Drosophila melanogaster: one gene and its partners. The protein of the gene in region 3 interacts with the protein of the main gene of each other region in a pairwise test. Each region holds a gene or a part of one and is shown on either strand. Other genes may lie near its edges.

Evidence for each region. Proteins that work in one complex are often made in the same cells at the same time.
Region 1: the proteins of Tpc1 (region 3) and CG11007 interact in a two-hybrid assay, tested with the Drosophila melanogaster proteins (one large-scale study listed by BioGRID).
Region 2: the proteins of Tpc1 (region 3) and CG12862 interact in a two-hybrid assay, tested with the Drosophila melanogaster proteins (one large-scale study listed by BioGRID).

The regions. Positions count from the first base shown.
Region 1 is NT_033778.4:19,498,634-19,505,094, reverse strand, and holds CG11007 (uncharacterized protein), read right to left. Parts: upstream 2,028-6,461; 5' UTR 1,908-2,027; coding exon 1,092-1,907; 3' UTR 501-1,091; downstream 1-500. Other genes in the region: CG16926 (uncharacterized protein), read left to right, coding at 4,043-4,166, 4,236-4,379, 4,456-4,571; CG15120 (uncharacterized protein), read right to left, coding at 4,816-4,976, 5,045-5,194, 5,305-5,476.
Region 2 is NT_033778.4:14,639,714-14,644,888, reverse strand, and holds CG12862 (uncharacterized protein), read left to right. Parts: upstream 1-4,262; coding exon 4,263-4,345; intron 4,346-4,434; coding exon 4,435-4,675; downstream 4,676-5,175.
Region 3 is NT_033777.3:10,878,809-10,888,924, reverse strand, and holds Tpc1 (thiamine pyrophosphate carrier protein 1), read left to right. Parts: upstream 1-6,736; 5' UTR 6,737-7,362; intron 7,363-7,818; 5' UTR 7,819-7,920; coding exon 7,921-8,919; 3' UTR 8,920-9,353; downstream 9,354-10,116. Other genes in the region: Ak3 (adenylate kinase 3), read left to right, coding at 615-1,265; leash, read right to left, coding at 2,838-2,952; CG14696 (uncharacterized protein), read left to right, coding at 4,091-4,205, 5,011-5,378, 5,438-5,969, 6,033-6,391; CG14695 (uncharacterized protein), read left to right, coding at 9,652-10,116.

The DNA.
Region 1 (6,461 bases), on a different chromosome or scaffold from region 3:
AAACGGCCGTGTGAGACAATCGCATTATTTACCATATACAATTCACGTAAAATGCAATGGCCATTTTCATGCCGTTTCAATGAAAGTAAAGAAAAATACAAATATTAACCACAAAGGCCTTGCTCACATCTGTGGGGGGTGGTTGTGGGCGGTGTGCGGTGGGTGGTGATTGGTGTGCAGTCGCCTGTATTTATGCATTTAAATTCGTCCGTTTCTCTATACGTATGTGTGTTCATATTGAATGGATAAAAGGGATTTGCGTTTATTTCGTTCTGCGTCTGGCCTGTTGGGTTCTTATGTATATATATATATATATATCCATATACGATCTGTCTATATGGCCGATGTCTGCGGGGCCATTTCGGAACAGAACGCAACACGCCGGAAACATTTTTGTTGTGCCATTTGCATTGCCATACAATTTTGCTCAACACATTGGCAGCAACAACGGGCCCATTTGGTTTTATATTTCATAAACCGGGGGGATACGACGAAGGTTTCTGTTTTAAGCGGCAAGTCAGAACGTATAAAATACAATAAATATGTCATAAAATTGTGGGTTGTCACAAACACTTTATATACATTTGTACCGAAAACCAGTATGGGCACCTTTCTGAAACTATATATTCATTCTCTATATTTTCACTATTTTACTAGCTATTTGTATACAGCGTAAGTTCTTTATTACATTCTTTCAATTTACGCTTGTCCAGTCCATCTTAATATTTACTTGTTCTTAAACGAGCACCGGAAATGATCGTTTGAGCTGTGCTAATTGAATGAAATGTTAGACTCGGCTGGGAATTAAAAAAGAACTGCGTATTTTCGTTGACTCATTTCACATTTTTAAATATATTTGGTACCTGGTGATTAGCTACAATTTATGCAAATGCAAGATCATACAAATATTTTCTACAATGGCATCGCGACGAGAGCACGTCTGAGTTTAGAATGCAAATATTAGTGCAATTGTACGTGTCTTTGGCGGTGGCAGCTCCTCAATAAGTTAAAATAAACTATGAACTAAACGAATAACAGTTATTAGCACGTGCACGCAGAAATGAGATGGCACCAGTGGTGGACAGGACAGCCTACTGGACCTTCTTGGCCTCCTTGGGCGCAATGGGTAGTCGTTCGATGGCCTCCTTGTACAGCTGGTTAAGGCCAAAGGTGGCGCGCACATTGTCGCTGGAGAAGAAGAACTTTTGCAGTTTACCCTTGGAATCGACGCAGGGCCTGCGGTCCGTCTCCTTGCCCTGTTGGAACAGGATCACAGTTGGTAGCTGTCGGGAGAAGCTGCTGTCCGAGATGCGATACTTTTGGGCCACGTCCGGAAAGCGTCCAATGTCAATCTTGCCGAACTTCAGGTGGTCCGTGTTGTACTCGGCGGAGAGCTCAGCAAAAACGGGGGCGAAGTTCACGCAGCTGGGATTCCACACCGTGTAGAAGCAGATCAGCCAGCTGGTTCGCTTGTCCCTGGCCAATTCCTCCTCGAAGACCTGTGCGTTGCGGAAGTAGGTGATGTGCTCGGGTCCGCGATACGAGGGCTCCGGCAGCACCATGCCCACCAGGACGCATAGAAGCAGAAAGCCCAGGCCGTAGCGGAAGTCCGCGTAGGCCCACAAAATGGCGTTGGCCACTTTGGTGTAGAGGAACGACGAGGCCAAGTAGTTAATCATGGTGACACTGCCCGTTTTGCGTGACCGTATCATCACCACGATTAGCAGGAAGAACAAGATTTCCACCTCACGACTGTCCAGGTCGCATGCTTCATCCTCTCCGGCGAGAATAAATAGGCGGGTGCAGATGAACTGCGTCTTTTTGGCCAAAAGGTACGATATGGCCAGGAGTATGTTAACCCAGTAGTATGGCTTGGCCAGCAGAGCCATCTGCTTCTTCCACGTCATCTCTGCGTCCGGGGGCTGAATGCGCTGATCTGGGTCACGATTTTAATTAACAATTTCCCGAGTTTTTCTTTTCTTGCTTTTGACAGCCAATTGTTAATTTTAGCCTCGCCGTTGACTAGAAATTAGCAGCCTAGTTGTCTGGCACGGGCGTTGCCACCTGATAAAAGAACAGTGGCACTCTTGTCAGTGCTGGAAATGGTATTAGTTCGTTGGCGCCTTTTCAAATTCAAAATCATCAATTAACAGTTTGCCTTTCTTAAACGTTCTTTGATACGTTTTATTTACTTATATGCATTATTATCTTACAAGTATTTAGTATTTAGTATTTAGCATTTTTTTTAAATGATAATTAATCAAAAGTTAAAACCATAAACAGAACTTGGGACAACCATATTTGTTTGCCCGAAAACCAACCGAAACTGATAAGCGAGTTATTGTTACATCAGCATTTTGCTAAAGTCATTGAGAGATTGTTGACCTAGCACACAAAGGCCACTGCAAAAAAAAGGTAAAAAAAAGGCATCGAGGATCTTCATTATCGGCACACACGCCGAGTTCAAATCTGCGAAAAAGCTTGGCTCTCTACGTGATCTCAGACGCTCGTGGCTTCCATCAGTCGCCTTATCACCCAAATATTATTTTGGCCTTTTTTTTTGTAGTTCCTAAATTAAATGTGTTTGGAACTGTGTGAATACTGTGAGAATTTTGTACCCACTTCATAGAGCATCACCAGTATTATCGCCATCGTGGCTGACTCTCCGCGTTGTGCAAAGATTAATTTTTTTGTAGTAAACACTGTGCGCGTCACTGGACTAAACGATTTATTTTTAATCGTATTATTGAGACCAATTTACGAGGGTCATCTCCATGATCCCCATCGGATCGATCACCCACCTCTTTACTGGTTTCACTAGTAGGCCGTTCTTTGTTTATACAGCGATTATTTTATGTTCAATACACTGGCAAATAAAGTGAGCTTGCTTCTATTTATAGAATATTTTCAACTGTGTTATTAGTAACCTCCTTATCGAATCAAACAACTTTCTCGTGGCTTTATATTTAAATTCAACCAATCATTCACTTTATAGTAAAAAAAGTATTAACAAAGACACTAGAATAAGACAATAGAATAAGAATTCTAGTGTCTTTGGTAATAATATATTAAAAACAATTAACTTAAAACAAAATAAGATTTTTTCAAGTGCACTGTTTTGTACAACTTGATAGAAATGAAATAGGGAATCAATACAGAAAATATTTCGAAAATCCGAGATCATGACTAATCAAAGTCAAATCTAAGGTGTTGATGCTTTTGCACCTTGTCTGCGCCAAAACAAAAATGAAGTGAAAATTTCAGTAAACAACGTGCACTTAGGTCAGTTTTTAATAATATTATAATCACAAATGCCTTTGCCAGCATGCTATAGTGTGTTGGCAGCCGGATTAATCTGGTTTGGAATAAAGTCTCGTAAGATTGTCAGCCATTTGAGTACAGGGACACTCGTGATGGGAACGAGAGCCCTTCATCTTGGCTGCGGCTAAAAAGCAAAACTGGTCTATAGATCCAGGGCTCTGATAGCCATATCAAGTACACAAATCTACTTCCCAGCCCCATCGAAACTTCCCGTAGAGCTTGGAAACAAATAGGCTTGTGTGTGGAAATGACAAAAAAAAAGGCAAAACCAAAACAATGACAACTGCAACTGATAAGTGGCACAAAATGGCGATCACTTGCCGGCTTTATAATCGCGCTATCAAGGCAGCCTGATCTCCTGTCTCCCGCTTATCACTTGGCGGCAGCTCCGAGCCGAACCGATCCGATCCGAACACGCGTTCTATAAATTCCATTCCCAGCCAGGCGACGTCTTCAGTTTAAATCCGAACCCTTGTGCTGAGTGTTCATCTCCGAGTAGCAGACATAGACAATCGCAGACAATCGAGCAAATCCCAGAAAAAACGACAGGCATCAAATGCCAAATCCATCGTGCAAAGCTAACCATTCCAATTGGCCTAATCTGATTCATAGTTGAAATTGTGATAAAAAACAAAAACCAAAGAAACTGGGACACATTTCGATCTAAGCGAAATATCCCCTATCCCACAAACTTTTTCCGGACTTTCAGTTTGGCCTTTGAATGCTGCTGCAGCAGTGCGGAAAAATCATCAATCTCGATCAGCATTTCACCGAGTGCTGGAATACAAGCCCATTGCGAAACTTTGACTTCATCATCTCCCTTCTGAGCGTTATTTCCCTAAGTGGTGGGTGGTGATTTTAGCCATGTATTTACAATGTATAACTAACTTTTGATGCTCCTCCTCCGCCTCCAGTTGTTAAGATGGCCGCCATTCCACAAGGTGCATTCGCAGCCTGCAAGATTCGCGAGCAATTCAACGAACGTGAGCTGATCATCGCCCGTCTGAGGTCCGCTGCCGCAGATAAGGGTTCCGTTGACAACGGGAACGCCCTAACCCGTAAGTGCACATGACGATCCACGATCTCGATCCGCTGGGTCAATGGAGCTCATACGCATCAATTTTGCATTTCCAGAACGCGAGTACTCGCCCAACAAGTACAACGACAAGCTGATGAACTCCATCTGGGGATTGTACAATCGCTATTCCCCCCACAATGTGAAGAAGAACGAGTACGCCCCCACCAAGTGATGACCTAAAGTGGGGCCACGTTCGCTTCCAGCTGACGTGCCCCAAACGCGACTAGCATCCCCACCAGGATGTTGGTCAAAATCAATTATATATTATATATACACAACTATAATCTCAAGCATATATCGATTTAAACGCACATAACACTTTGGTAACAAATATCTATTTAATGCTGTAATGTTTTGTAAAATTCAATAAATACTTATGATATTGTATGTAAAGGGACAAGACCATGAGGCGTAGTTTAATTTAAATAGCAGGACTCGTAGGTCGGCACCATGTACTTGATGTTGATGAAGGCATCCTCGCCGCCATGCAGTTCCAGCACCTGCAGCGTCTCATCGATCAGATCCCCCAGATTCAGATTGTTCTTCTGGGCATAGTCGATCTCATCGCCGCAGTTTACTATACAGCACAGAATATCCACTTCAATGGAAGTTACTGGAAGTAATCGAGTTTAGTGGAATACCTACAGTTTTTCACCTTAAATGCATTGAACATGGGCAGCAACTGGCGGTAGAAGGGCACCAGGGCGGGTCCCACCAAATCCGAGGACATGACCAGCTGTTGGATTATCTTCAATGTCGTGCACATTACCTCCAGGTTTCGTGTGCTCAATGCGTCTGCAAATGGGGGCGTATTTGGTTTTGGTTTTGTGCTCGCATTGGCAAGGTGCAAATTAGACCGAAAAACTTCGAGGCATTTGCGTGCCAGCCAATGCCCTGGTACTCACTCTTCAGCGGCAATATTAATTGCGGTATCACCGGGTGTATCTTCTCGCCCCCGGCCAAGAGGAGATCCGTGACCCCCTGGCGGGCATAGGTCTTGTAGGGATGTTTCGTCTCCGCCAGTCCGTCGAAGAAGAGCGGCAGATAGAGGCTGTAGTCCAGCTTTTCAATGTCCACCTAGGCGAGATACGGGAAGAGGTGACACCGTTGGCGGGTCAAAGGTGAATAGAGCCGCTCCAAGTTCGAAATTGGTTCGTGTACCGGCGGTGGCGCAAGTCTTGCAAGTGTACATTTGCACGCCATGCCGGTTAGGCGCCCTAGCTGATTTCCATTAAGATGCTCTTTGTTTGCTTACGTTGTCAGTGGAAAATTTTTAGAACACATCGAGAAATGGGCCTGTACCTGCCTATAGACTTTGCAGTGCTAAGTCTAGACTAATCTTTGTTCGAGAGTCTGCTTTGAGTATAGTTACCAGCTTAGCTTAGTTGATTTGAGCTAACAAAGGGTTATAATATAACCCACTATCTTAACCAGATTGTATTGCATATATGACTGAATGACTCAGAATAGGAATTTTACTTTGATTTTAAGAAGACAGCAACTTTATATTTAAGTCAAAGGCGACATCGCTGGCATCGCAGCTGCGTGAGCCTCACATATGGGTTTCCCCAACATCGACCTTCGACCCCGTGACGTAAATCAGGCAGTGTCACTCACATATCACTCTCCTGTCACGACGGCATTTCGGCCTAGATAAACAAACGCACCACCCAAATGACATACGCCGCATATGTGGACTCCACATCGAATATGGAGTGCCATCCAAGGTCTGTGACATTGAACCAGCCAAAGGGGTCACACACACACTCATGCGAGGTGGGTGGGAATTGGTTACACATAACTTTCCGATTGCAGCGGAGTTCCATGGGAAATTGACTGACAGTTGGACGGTGCGACGTTTTGAATGTCAGTAGTCGCATTCCGGACGGAATCGCTTGCCCGTCAGCCGTGGAGCTCTACTAACTCCGGAAATAGACAATGGCATATTATTTACTCGGTTTTTGCTTTCACCTGCAACACTTGAAATAATTGGACACGCAGGTGTACGAAACTCGAGCTAAATTCAAATATGGGCTTTGTCTATGGGTCACCGAGTGGTAAG
Region 2 (5,175 bases), on a different chromosome or scaffold from region 3:
GCCACATTGTCATCTCTAGATGAATTCTTGCTATCGTGTGCAGCTACTTACTGATCATGACCTATCGATAGCACAGTAATCAGCTTATCGATAAGCCGCGATCAAATGTTTTTTTGAATAATTTAATTCAAGTAGTAGTATAGTTAAAAAATCAAAATAATCGAATAATCTTTATAATCTTAATTTTATACAAAAATTTAAGAATACGGGACACCGGTTTTTTGAACCATTTTTTTTTCATTTTGCATTCTTTCAATTCCTACCAAATATTGTGTGCCTTTTTTTTATTTTATTAGGGAGAATTCACCCGCCATGCGATGTCCTTTGTAGTAGGGCTTCCGGGCATTGGCAAAGGACTCTCGAGCTGGCAGACAAACAAAACTGAACCGCAGACAACCCACTCAATTGGAGTTGGCTCCTTTAAAAGTTCATTCGTTTGTAAATAATTTTTAGCCGGCGGCAAAATCGATACTTCGCTTAAGATTTTTGCATATATAGCGACCATCGCATAGCTCTGAAAATTTTGTCAAGCTGCGCAAAACTTTCAACGGCAGCCGACGAGCAAAGTTATATGAGCAGCGTATGCCGATAATGCATAAGAGAAAAGTTGGGGGGAAAAGGCGGAGAAATGGGAGAAGAAGAAGGAGAAATGAAAGCATAAGCCGAATGGGGAAGTTTTACTATTAAAGTTTTTCATCAGCGCCTATTTGTCGAGCTCTCGAAACTTGGCCCTAAACCCCTTTTTTGGTGCTGGGGCGAAGGGCAAATATTTGTCAGGCAATTAAATGTTTACTGTTTTTATTATATGCTCTTGTTTGCCCTACCCTTCTCCCCAATTTTATTGTGACAAAGGAGCGGAATGAATGAAAGGGTTTTTGTCGGCTATTCCGGCTAAAATTAATCACACGCCCCGTTGCCGCAGTGCAAACAATCCAGCAAAGGTAAAAGCGTACAGACTAACCGCAGTACAGCTTAGTGTGCACCTTGCATTCAGGATGTTGAAAATATTAGCTTCGAAGGTTTGGGATTGTAATAAACCTACAAGAGATGAAAACGTGAGTCACCAGCAGAGACATTTAACTGGTGCCCTTCGTCACTAAGTGGACTGCCGTCCACAATGAAGTCGCGAGACAAACAAATAGATAAAAACCATCCGCAGATCATTTCAGACCAACTTCTCACCTACCTAACCATAATTATTTCGTATCAATTAATAAACCACAACCATCGTCATCCACTCAATGGTAATGGGATTTGCTGGTCAGCATTTGAAGCGATTCATTGAAGCGGATCAGCCACTCGTTCCGGCTCAAGCACCACCCAGTCTCGATTTTCCGGCATTTGCATACAAATTAATTAACAACACTCGTTCGGGGCCATAGTAAATTAATAATTTAGCCAGACATTACGCATATACGACGCATCGGCTGAGTGGCAGTAAAAAGCTGTCCAAAAACGCGTCGGAGATGGGCCAAGAGTCATTTTAATTACCACATAACAGGGCAGCGGGCCACAAATGGCAACTGGGAAATGCGAAATGCGAAATGCCGGGGCTTTTGGAATGGGTGAGCGGAAAATGGGAAATGGAGAAGGGAAAGCATGTCACGCTAAATGGGAAATGTTGCGAATACGACCTGAGGGCACAAGTGCCTGGAAGTCTGCGTGAGTGTGTGCGTTTTATGACATTGCCAATTTACGAAATTTCATAAATATAAATTGGTTTTAAATGTTAAAATAAAACAATTAAAATTGCCGCTGGTAAGCAGCAAAGTGAGTGCCCCAACTCCGCCGAAATGCGTTCATGGGCCATATTCACGAATTTAGTAAACATTCGAGGAGCCCTGAATAATTTAGTCGAGATTATGATTGCATTTCCCGCGAGAGGAAGTGAGTGCAAATCGGAAATTAGCCCCATCCACACTATTCACATTTATGTACATTGAACTTTTAGCCAAATCACAGCCGGTAAAATGGCTCAATTCAAACGAGGCAAACAACAAAATCATTTTAGCCCACAAACCATTTCTTTGCTGTTTGTAAACAGCTGAAAAACGCTGGAAATTGTTTATGGCTGTTACTGTTCTCGAACATTTCATCGGTTGGCCATAAAAGGGCATGACAAATGAATGAAATTCGTTGGCAATTTTCGTTTTCAGTGCCCTCATAAATTTCGCACTAATAAAACTGCGGAAAAGTGTGCTACAAAAAGCTATTGGAAAGGCATCCAATTCAAGTGCAGTAAATACAACTTGAACAATATGCTCCGCCGCATTTCTGTAAGTCAGTAATCAATGTGGAGTTCTCCGAGCTCAGATGAAATCTTTGACTTTAAGTTGGAGCTATTAAATGGCGGAGCATGGCCAACAAATCGATATTTAATGACAGAGCTTAGTCGCACCCGCCCACCCAAGAACACGCCCCCCAGACTAACACTCACACACCCAAACAAAGCGAGCACATACATCATTGTCAATGTCAAAGTGTCAAAGCAAACTTTGCAGTGCACAAAGCCAACGGCGCATAGTTATTACACTGAAAGAAATATAAATCGTTCTCCAACTTTAGCCATTATATGATGTATAAAATCAATGAGGTTCACAGCTGTTACTTAGCAGTGCAAAAAATATTATAAATACAAATATTCCTCGACCTCAAATAAAAGTTTTTGCCTTGTGCTCTGCGAAATTCTCAATCCTCAGTGTTCGAAATCATTTCATCGGGCCGACCCAAGTCAAGTGCAATAAACCCTCGAATCGGCTGGGGAGTTTTGCATTCGGCCACGCCCACATAATGCCATCGCCTCTGTAGCCCGCAGTTATGATGTTGCAGTAAGCAGCGAGTAAACTGCAATTTGCGCACAAAAACTTTGCTTGCGACAAACTTTCCGCCCCATATGTCCCTCTCTTTCGCTCGCATTGTTTTTATCTCTCTCACTCCGCTTTGCAAACGGGCAACAATTTGAACTGACAAAGTCCGGCGATAAAAAAAAATGTTTAAGTACTTAAGTTGCGCTCCGAATGCATCGCACAAAAGTTTATTAAACAAACAGGTAACAATAAAAGTGAATGGCGGAGAGAGAGGGTGATAAAGAAACATGGATGATTTACTCATTCTGCTTTTCTTTTTAACAGATGTTTCAATGAATAACAAATTTATAGTTGCCGATGTTGTGTGGGTCAACGAGGTTTTTATATAACTGAGGTGGAAAAGGGATGGTCGTCTAAAAATATATGTATATAGTACTATGTATATATAGTTTGAAAGTCACAGCAATTTTCACAAATGGGCTTTCTAGAATTTTTGTTTAGGAAAATATTTTCTTAAAAGCCGTTGATTTTAAGAATTATGATAAATAACTAAACATTAAACGTAATATTTAATACATATAAACACATTTAGTTTCTCTTATATTCTTTTTTAATGCACTGTCGAAATAATAAATAAGTTTTTTTCTTTAACAAATTTTGTTCTTTTGTAAGACAACCGCGAGAAAAATCCCAAATAATTGGGTGTCGAATTGACGAGTTGCTTGTGTTTAGCAATAAGCCCCTCGCCCACTCACCATTAACAATGTACAGTCATCACCGCTCTCCTGTCGACCTTCGTCCTGCCCAACCACCAGCGCTCCCTCCTGGCGCCACGCCCCCTGCGCCATCCCCGCCCACCAATTGGATGTACGCCACTCGCATAATCAATTATGCGTCTGCAGTGCGTCCAAAGTTCTCTCTAAACTTGGCAATTTATTTGCACCGGAAACTCAACATAAATCAAACTAATTTCTCCTGGGATTTTTCAGCACAACTTCCAACGTGTCTCCCATTCGCCATCTCTGTCCCGCTCGCACTGCTGGCGCGCTGGTCACGTGTCTCGCTGCGTGTGAGAGAGCAGGATAGCAAATGGGGCGGGTGTGGCAAATTGAATTTGTCGCGGTGTATCGCATAATTTGGGGAGTATTGTGTTTCTAATTGGCCGCTCGAAGGATTCACAAAAGTGAAAGCCCCAAGACATGAGGAAATTCGAAGGATCTACTGATTAGACAGGCTGTGTTCTAAATTATCAACGGTATTACATGGATGTATATGCAGTGAATGCAAATTGCGTGAGACATCCCTATTCAACTGGATCGCATTGTGTTCTTGTCGCCTGTTGACTTGAATATTTCCGCATATTTCAGTTGTCCTTGGCAGAAAGGTAGCTCGCATTCAACCTGGGCATTAACAATTTTGTAAGTTACCTAATAGTCCGGTGAATTGCATCAGAAGATGGAATCGCTGGACGAGTGGGACACACGTGTGGACCGCATCATCAAGCTGCCGGTGGGAAAAGCGCTAATAGAGAAGGACAAGTGGAGGTTTTATAACATTCCTGAAATGCACTTTTCCAAGTGCATAAATCTGTCGCTACCTCCAATTAAGTCCCTCACCTCCTCATTAGCTTAGACCAGATAGCGGTAGACATGGACGACGGAGCGAGGTGGTACCGGGAGATTTATGAGATCTTTGACGTGACATCGGTGCCACCACGTCAGTTCATCTGTCACGATTTGGCACCGTACCACGAACCGAAACCCGATTCACCTGACCAGGTGTTCGAGTACAAGGACTTCCTGAGCTACCTGGGCATACTGCAAACTCTGCCTTTGGACACCTTGCAGCGCCTCGAAAAGCCCCTCTGATGGTCCAAATGGCATCGATTCCTCGACGGCTACATCGACGCTCCTTCTTATCCTTCTCCTCTACCCGACAACCTTGATGATGATGATGATGATGATGTGGCTGTGCAAGATGACAGCGATCGTGCTGCGTGGCAGTAACAGCAAATTTGCATTACCTGGGCAGGTGTGTTCCTGCTTCCACTTCCCCAAATGAGCTTAATGCTAGTCGCGCTTAAACGAGGGCTGATTGAAAAGTTTGAAGTTTGACAAACAAGCACATTTTACCACGTTTTTATTTGTTTATTAAAGTTTCCTTTGAATTTTATATGCTTTTATATATATGTTTTTTGATGCCACAAAATAAAGGGGTATTATTAGTATGCATTTTACTAAGTACTACAAATGGGTAAGCTTTAGGCTCAAGCAGCCTCTAAGTTCCTGAGTCCAAAAACCTCTTAGCACCCACAGCCCTGATTTCCAAGCGTATTGCACTTTCCCGGTGATTTTCGAAACAATTTCCT
Region 3 (10,116 bases):
GTACATATATACATGTCTACATATATTCTCTATAATTTTCCGTGCGGACTTTGGACGATAAGCGGGGCGACAACAATATCTGGTTATACATGAAGACAAAGAACATAAGGCTGAAAAGCCACGCTTGTCTCTTCTGTTTGTTGTTTTTGCTGGTGGCGCTCTTTTAAGTGTTTGCGCTACACTTGTTACCAAGCGGCATGTTGGTTCACGAGCACAAAAGCTGACAAGTGATTTAGTGTTATATTTACCCACTCTTTATTGCCGTGTTCGCTCACAAATTGAATGGAATCATTGGTTGGATTCCCGTGATTAGTCACACATAAAACACATAAGCTTTAGCGAAAACTATGACCTTCATCACCTCTGTATCAAACAATTGTGGCGTGCTTGATAGTCTTATCGCCCATAAAAGTAGTCGAGTATGGTCAACTGAAATAATTTTGGTTTTACTGCCAAGATTATATGTTATTGACCCTAAATCAAAATATAAAAACAGATCCTATATTAAATAGATAAACCGAATTTTTTTATCATATCATATTAAATTTAACCATGTATCAATTCAATTTTTTGTCTTGCAGCTCAAGGAGAGGTTGAAGAACTAGAGCTTAGACATGTTTACGAAAATCTTTCGCGCTGTGATAATCGGAGCCCCCGGCTCGGGCAAAGGAACTATTTCGGAATTGATCTGCAAGAACCATGGATGTGTGCACATCTCCACGGGGGACATTCTGCGCCAGAACATCATAAAAAACACAGAACTTGGAAAAAAGGCCAAGCAGTACATTGCTGAAGGTAAACTGGTGCCCGACGCGATTGTGACCAAGACGATGCTGGCCCGGATAACCGAGGTAGGCAACAGGTCGTACATCCTAGACGGATTCCCGCGCAATATAGCCCAGGCCGAGGCACTGGCTGCACGCGAGCAAATCGATGCCGTGATCACGCTGGACGTTCCACATAGTGTGATTATCGACCGGGTCAAGAATCGCTGGATCCATGCGCCCTCCGGCAGGGTGTACAATATTGGCTTCAAGAATCCCAAAGTGCCTGGCAAAGATGATGTGACGGGGGAGCCGCTGATGCAACGCGAAGATGATAAACCCCATGTGGTGGCCAAGCGACTGGAGCTCTACGATGAGGTGATGAGCCCGGTAATAGCCTGGTACGAAAAGAAGGGTCTGGTTGCCACTTTCAAGGGAAAACAGACAAAGGAGATCTGGCCGATGATGGAGCTTTTCCTCAACGACCGCATAAATGCGTAATGGAGCAACCCCGAAATTACATCCAATGTGCACAAACTAACGATAAACTGCTGTGTTCAATTAAGTGCATAATATATTTAGATATATATAAATGAATACGTATGAAATATGTATGTTTGTGGGCCGGTTAAGAGGAACAGGCGTATAATTAATGTAATTGCGAAGCCTTACACAGTAGCAGCTGTCATGTATTCCTTCTTCCACAGATATCATTCCCCTCATGAGCATGTCTTGCAGCTCCCCCCTTTTTTGTATAAACATATTTTTGTACTCGTATTCTGTGCTCTGATAATAAATCGCGTTTTTTATATATATAAATATATATATATATGCGCTGATAACAGCCGACTTTGACTTTTGGGCAGTTAACGGACAGCCGTCGATCTATTTTTAGGCAATGTCCACAAACCCTTGGCCCCATGCGTGAAGCCAACACTTTTAGCTTCACCTCATGACACCCAAATGCCCTTCATTTTATCGCGTAGCGCATTAATTTCTAAAAAATATGGGATAGTGTGGCGCTCCCGTTTAGTCTCGCGCTCTCTTACTCACACATGCACGGACCAGCTGCTGTTCTCACGCACACCTGTATAGTGGCAAATCACAACAGAGAGGCGCTTGTACAGTCAAGGGCGCCCAATTATGTCAGATTTAAAATTCTTTAAGTCATTTATAAAAAATTCAATAAACCACTTATTGTTTTAAAGGTATACTTCATAATAAAATGGAGATAGCTGTTTGCCTTTTAAACACTATACTTCGGAATATACCATTACTGGGAATCTTATTTCTGGATAATTAAAAAAAAAAACCTATATAAACCCCTTTGTGGCCACCACTGTGCTGCGAGCGCCCTCTCACCTCTCTCTCATTTAGACCCGACTTGCGCTTGGCCCAATATTACGGCTTTTTCGGCACGCCAACTGAGTGTGCCTCTCTTCGCACATGCCCCCACCGTCTACACTCCCCTCTCGCGCGATGCGTTTGGGTTGGCATTTCCTGAAACAAATGCCAGTACTCAAGAATCGTGAAGAACGAAAAGAAATTCAATTGCAATTGCAACGGGCGGCAATTGAAAGCTTATCGATGAATGAAAGGCGAGCGCCGAAGGCAATTAGAGGAATTTGCGAGCAAGAATCTCGAAATTGCGGTGAAGCGGAGGGGGAGGAAGCCCCATAAAATGGCCGCTGTGCTTTGTTAACTGATGGAGTTCTTTGTTTATGCGAATGGGGCCGCAACGAAAGTCCAGCTGACCATCGGGCGGACAATGGATTGCAAACCGCTGACAAAACAGAAAAAAGCACATTTCTATTTGTGGAGTACATGATGGGTTGTGCAGAAAACCATCTTTGTTAATATTAGATTACTATATCTAAGCTAAATCTTTTCGGTAATACGATCTATATGTACACATGTAAACAATACCCAGAATCATAAACTAAGAGCCTAACGTTAAATGTAGGGTTTTGAAACACTTTCTCTGCGTGTCTACAGCTGAGTCATGGATGATGCAAGCCGAGCTTTGAGATGTGCATTCCAGGAAGCGGCAAGTTATGCTCGACTGGCACTTACCGCGTATTTTGGTGCGCTTGTTGACGTTCATCCAGATCTCGCCGCGAATTATGTCGCCCGCAAAGTAAACCCGATCCGCGCTGTCCAGCGTGATTCGCAGCCGCTCGCTTTCCATTCCGCTGGCGTTGATGGTGATGACTCCTCCGGTTTGGCCACTTTCCTCACGCACTTATCCAAAAATAATTTCGTCATCAAAATGCCGCCACATACAAACGTACATGGATGCACTGCAGCACCACGGCCCGCACCACCCTAAAGTATATGCAGAATAGTAGCACCACCACACGCACTCGCCTCACGATTTACGATTTGATGTTACTACACACACCGCGCGGTGAGTGGGAGCTTTTTCGCGCTGATTGTGGCCAGTTCTTGGGGAATCTCGATATCCATCAATTCGCAATGGCCCACAAGTGTTGGTCGCACACCCCGGGCTAATTTAATTCGATTGCTGTCGTCCGCTGGCGGGTTGAATAATTAAATTTCTTATAAATTTACGAGATCCGTGAGTTACGCTTTTTTGTTGTAGCTGCAGCTCTCTTTCGATAACCGTGAGAGCGGCGGTCCGATAGCACGAACAGCTGTTGCGCGGTGCTGCCACCGGGCGCCTGGCCAGCTGAAGCGGTTAATTCGCAGACTTTTTAATCGGTATTTTCAAATGTGTCTAATTTAAAGTTTAAGTTCTAAACAGCGTTTCTTAAATGCACTGTTTTCAGTTGTAATGCAAGAGTTCAGAAATGCTTGGTAGTAATGGTCTTTTTTTATGGTTTGATGTTTGAAAAGAGAAGAAGAAACTCTCTGTTTGAATATCGCCAATAATTTAAGTTGATATATTTCACTACGAATAATAATTACCAAATATTTTACTGTATAGATAACAAAACGCTCAGCTTAGATGTCAGCGATGATTGAAGCATACATACATATTTTATTAAGATTAAACTTTAGTTGGCTTAGCAGCATAATGCTCCATATAGTATTTCGTGTGCTTCCCCGTTCTGTCCTTCGCTTCTTCTTCTTGTAACCTCTCGCGCACAAAAGTTTGCTTCTCGGTTCTTCGGTCTCACCAAAGACTTTTGAGAATTCAGTATTAAGCCAGAGCTGCTCGCGTTCGGAGCTTGCGAGCTGAGTCGCCGGAACCCTCGAATACATCGAATCCCTACCTCTTCCACCAACTATCAATAAAACAAACAAAGGAACTTGATAGCGCGATACCACCCGACACCGTCGCCAAGGAGCCAATTCTGGACAGGATGAGCAGCAAGGTGAACTTCGTCTTCGACAGCAATCCTTTGGGGCTCTATCAAGCCGGTCAGCTTATCTCCGGCACGGCGGAACTGATTACGGAGCGCCCCAAGACGATTCGATGTAAGTGACACCGACATGCGGAAGAAGACGCACTACATACATATGTATTCTAATGGACTCGAAACCATGACGTCATCCCCCTCCATCACCATTCAAATTCTGAATCCCATACCGTTTTACCATCCACTAATAAATAAATATCCACTTAATATTGTTGGTGCTTTGTTATCCGCTGGTTTAATGTTATTGTTGCCGGTAGATATGCTTGAAAGATGTGTATTGTATATACAAATGTACATATATGTATGTATACATAAAGTTTATATACAACACACATGTGGCCGCTTGGCTGGCTGGCGGATATCTGATAGCGGCGTAAAAACTAGTTTTGTTTTGAAATTGCGTACGCTGTTTGTATTATTAGATATTTGATTCAGTTACTGGTCAGCCCGTTCGTGCCAATACCTTTAAATTGTAGTGTATAGGTAGCATTTTGGGTCAATTAGGCGTAATTCATGCAGATATACATATATATATAAATTTATACAAATCCCATTAGCAAGCTAAGTGGACCCTAGCCATCGGTTCAAATTCAAATAATCAAATATTTCCTAGGGTATCAAATAGTCGAGCCTTAGCAGCGCTTTAATTTGATGGTGAACTTTATTAGGTAGCATTCGTTTTTTTTATGCTTCTGATTAAATTATTGTTAGTTCATTAACAAAGACAGTTGTTTGTAGCTGAGCAATTTTCCAATACAATTCTACATCCGAAACACACAAAAGGTCCAAGGTCAATGGCAATTAAACTAAATGCATAATTGAATTACATACCCGGCAGTACAGACAAATTAATCCAATTGCAGCGATCTTTATAACCATAAATGGATACGGCGAGACGCGTTGGCAGGAAAGCGAGGAGCGAGTGGGAGAGGATGGGAAGACGACCAAGTCCCTGGTGACCCACACCACCACCGAGGTCTACTACAGCACTGACCAGCCGGTTTACGGCCAGGCCGGTGGCTCGCAGCTGGAGTTGCCCACCGGCAAGTACGTCTTTCCCTTCCGGGCTACCATTCCGCCCAATGCACCCACCTCATTCAATGGTGCTCATGGTCAGATTAAGCACGAGGTTACCCTAACCATCGATCGCGCGGTTCGCTACAACAACACATTTAAGCAGTGCTTCACGGTGATCCTGCCACATGATCTTAATAGGCGGCTCGAGTATAAGGTATGTAGTCTTGGTTGTTCTTCCAAACTGAATAACCTTATGAAGCGCACTTCCCTTAGGAACCCCTCCAACGCTTGGAGTCGAAGAGCTTCTGGTGGGGCTCCATTTTCGGTGCCCACAAGCCGATGATCATGGACGTGAGCACCTCTTATTCTGCCTACGTCCCCGGCCAGAAGATTCATTTCCATCTGGTGTTGGACAACCAGTCGGATGTCCAATGTATGGACGTGAAGGTGCGTCTGATCAAGAACGTCTCATATAGAGCCAACTCATCGGGCGCAAAGGAGCAGTTGAAGGTAACCGAATCTCGGGTGGCGGACAAGCACTGCGGTGAGGTGCTGAAGCACAACAAGGCCAAGTTCGATGAGTTCCTCACGGTGCCGCCAACTACTCCATCCACGCAAAGCGAAAAGGATCCCATTCGAGTTAGCTACACATTGCGATTCATCGCCAAGACCTTCAAGCTGCACGGTGGTGGCGACTTGGTCATGGACTTTCCAATAACCATTGGCACAGTGCCGCTGCTGGGAAGTGCTGATGACAAGGGGCCCGGGGCGGAGAAGTCCCAGCCCAGTGGTGCCTCTCATCCAGGTGGGTTTTGCACTAAAGAAAGCATAATCGAAAGTGTTATTAATCGACGTTTCTCCGGCTTAGGCTCACCCAACTTTCAGGAGGACGTCAGCGATGAGCAATTCGAGTCCAACACCTTTAAGCCAAGATATCCCGTCTATCCATTTGATGGGAAGCCTGGAACCAATGGCTCAAACGGGGCAGCTAATTTTCCCAGTCTTTATCCCAAGGCAGAGGAGGCGCATCCTGCTACGCCTGTGAAATTCACACCAAATCCTGTGTCGCCAGCCGCACAAAAATCGCCACCATATACGACCAACACACCTGTTGCTTCTCCGCCAGGCGGTAATTTTGAGGTGCTTGGATTCAGTATACCACCAGACTATAAACCCACGCCTAGTGCTCCAGCCGCCTCTTCCACTGGCGGCATTGGGTGGAAATAGGGACCATAACTTAACCATTTTGTATTCTACACCTTAAGGCATTTTTAAATATACAAGAAAGCCCGCATAAGTGGCAACGCTGTGCATGTGACAGCTATATTAATATCGATAGTTAGTATCATTTTAATCCTAAATGGCCTTTTATTAACTCGAGTATAAACATAGTGATCTGGTTTCAGGAATTATGCTTACTATTAAAAAATATTTATGTTCCCAATTAAGAAAACCCTAAAACTGAATTTTAGCTTCTAGCTATTTTCTTACTATTGTTGTCAACCACGATAGCCGATAGTTGCCATCGCTGTTCGCTAAAAGCTCATCGCCAGCGGCTCGAACAGCTGATTCCGTGCACTTGGCGACGTAATTTAGTTTGTTTTGTTGTTGTTGCGTAGAGGTTTGAAGCAGCGCGTCTTGAATTCGGAAAACCAGTTTGTGGAAGTGGGAAGCGGCCAACTTGGACAGCGGCAGCAGGGGATTGACACAACTGCAACGGCATCTCAACGGCGGCGCTATTACAAGTCTGGCGAAAAGAAAGTTTTGACGCAATCCACGGGCCGCCGCCTGTAATGAAGAAGCGTCGGCGCCGCAGTCACTGCTGCACTCTGCCCGCGAACGGACGCATCTGCTCCAGGTGAGCTCAGATTGTAGTGCGCTGCTCTGGACATTCAGCAACATCATCATCATCACCATCGAGCGTGTTGCCAATGCCTTTGTCTCTTTATCTGAGCAGCAGCATCGGAATTTTGGGAACTGGACAACGGTCGCCGAGACATCGAACAACAAAAGCGGAAAAAAGTGAAATCGCTGATAAACCCGAATACCAACCGAGCTATTGTCAATCAATGAACGGCCGTTTGAACCTGGAGTCAACTTGGGAGCTCTGCGAATTGGCGGGCAATTGGCCATAACCGACCGAGATAATAGTGAAGTAATCGCAGAGACATACGCACGCTCCGTGGAGCATGATACTTGTAAGTCTCATCCTCAGATGAATTCCACTCCTACTATTTCCCAATTCCTGTCTACGCACTTGTACACAACAATTTGTCCATCGACTTTGATGAATGTGTGTAAACAAGTCGAAGTTTGCGCCCTGCCGCACCTCTAAAACGTTTTGAATGAAAGCTACAGGCAAGCTTTGCTAAGTCGGATTTTCGAAAACTCCATCTTTGATACCAGTAAAACCTAGCATATTTCATTTTTATCAAGAAACAATCTTAAGCTTTCTTTTTAACAGCATCTACCTTGAATTTCACAAGAGTCAAGTAAATTACAAGTAACCTTCAAAACAAATTCTTTATGATAATATATAAGCTATACCTATTAGATCCAGCCTCATAGAAGTTGCTAAGTCCGAGTTAATAGTTGCATCTACATAGTTCCGACTGTAATAACGTCTCCACCTGTCTGCGTTTCTTTATTTTCAGAAATGCCATTGAAAAGTTGGCAGTCGCAGCAATAAAAGTGAAATCCGCACGAGCAAACATACGCACACGAAAAGCAAAACCAAAGGTAGCTCCGACGCAGACATGGCGGTAACCACAGGCTCCACCAGTGAGGCGACCACAACCACAACTCCCGTTCCGCGACGCAAGCACAGTACGCGGGAGCAGCTGCATCAAATGCTGGCCGGTGGACTTTCGGCGGCCATTACGCGCTCCACCTGCCAGCCGCTGGACGTGCTAAAGATCCGCTTCCAGCTGCAGGTGGAGCCGCTGGGCAAGAACGCCGCCAAGGAGGGACCAGGAGCCCTTACCTCCAAATACACATCCATCGGACAGGCGGTGAAAACCATATACCGCGAGGAGGGAATGTTGGCCTTCTGGAAGGGACACAATCCTGCCCAAGTGCTGAGCATAATGTACGGCATTTGTCAGTTCTGGACGTACGAGCAGCTCAGCCTGATGGCCAAACAGACCAGCTATCTGGCGGATCATCAGCATCTATCGAACTTCCTGTGCGGCGCTGCGGCCGGAGGAGCAGCAGTGATCATATCCACGCCGCTGGACGTCATCCGCACTCGTCTGATTGCCCAGGACACCAGCAAGGGATACAGGAATGCAACAAGGGCTGTGTCGGCGATTGTCCGCCAGGAGGGACCTCGCGGCATGTACCGCGGTCTGTCCTCCGCCCTGCTGCAAATAACGCCGCTGATGGGCACCAACTTTATGGCTTACCGCCTGTTCAGCGACTGGGCGTGTGCCTTCTTGGAGGTGAGCGATCGCAGCCAATTGCCCACGTGGACGCTGCTGGGATTGGGCGCCTCCTCGGGCATGCTATCCAAGACGATCGTGTATCCCTTCGATTTGATCAAAAAGCGACTGCAAATCCAGGGCTTCGAGTCGAATCGCCAGACCTTCGGACAGACACTGCAGTGCCACGGAGTCTGGGACTGTTTGCGGCTGACCGTGCGCCAAGAGGGCGTTAGGGGCTTGTACAAGGGCGTGGCCCCCACACTCCTTAAGTCAAGCATGACGACGGCCCTGTACTTCAGCATTTACGATAAGCTCAAGCAGGTGCGCTTCTAGGTCGGACTTGGAGTCGGGGTTAATGGCGTCTGAAAGCAATTGTGCGCCCAAACGGAATCTACACTGTATTTTCTATTTTTATATATATTTACCGCAGCGCGTAAATAATATTAAGACTTAGGCTAACTCTGTTGATTAGTTTTCGGTTGTGCGTATCTTTTCTGGGGGTTCTGTTTATCATAGACCAATTGACTTGGTCAGCGCTTTAGTACACACACGAATAGTTGGCGCACCAGTTAAGTTATAGATTGTATGTGCTAGGTTGTAGTTCATTATTCGGCAGAGCACCTCTATTCACAGACACATTCAAATTTTTATTTATCTTTTGTTTGATTCGCAAACGAAACGACTGCGCTGGCAGTTCATTTGATATTTAATTAATATTATTACACCTAAGTATTCAGGGAATTTAATAAATTTGACTACATCACAACAGTTTAATAACTTTTATTTTTAATGAGTATTGTCCCTGCCTCCTAAGATTTAATTCTTCATATTTTTCTCATAATCTTTAAGCTTAAATGTTTCTTCCAATTGGAATAATTAGTTTTATGAACATGTTATTGAGTTGCAGCTGTTAAACTCCAAACATAATCAATGTTAAGAAAAGCTCGCTGCTGTGAGCTTTTTTGGTTGTGAAATTTAAACGGTGATGCATGCAGTGTATAAAAGGAAATGTATCTTTGGGAACAACAATACAGTTACTTCAGCGATTTCCCGTCCGGAGAGAAAATGGCTCTTGTGAAGACGTACACCATCGACAATAACTCCATTCCATGGATTCTGTGGCTACCGCCATTAACGGAAGTGGATAGGAAATCGCCGGGTGGGAGGTTCACATTTGATGGGCCAAAGGTGGTGGCGTTTCACTTTGTTAAGAACCGGCACGGAGACACGTTGGACAAGTGGATAAGTCTGCTCGATGAGTTGGCACAGGAGTACGCCGGTCGTATATTGTTCGGATTGCGTGACATCTCCAACATCGGGGAGTTCAATCCGAACCTAAATCCCGACGACTTTGGCAGCTACCGGAAGGGATTGCCACCGCGAATCTATGGCAAGGACTGTGAGGGCCGAGTGTACGATATGCACAAGCTGGTCAACGCCAAATACCTGAGGGAGTTTTGCGACCAGTTGCTGGCGGATCAACTCTTCCGTGCCGTAGTCCTGGGCGCCACTGCCTCACTGGACTCCAAG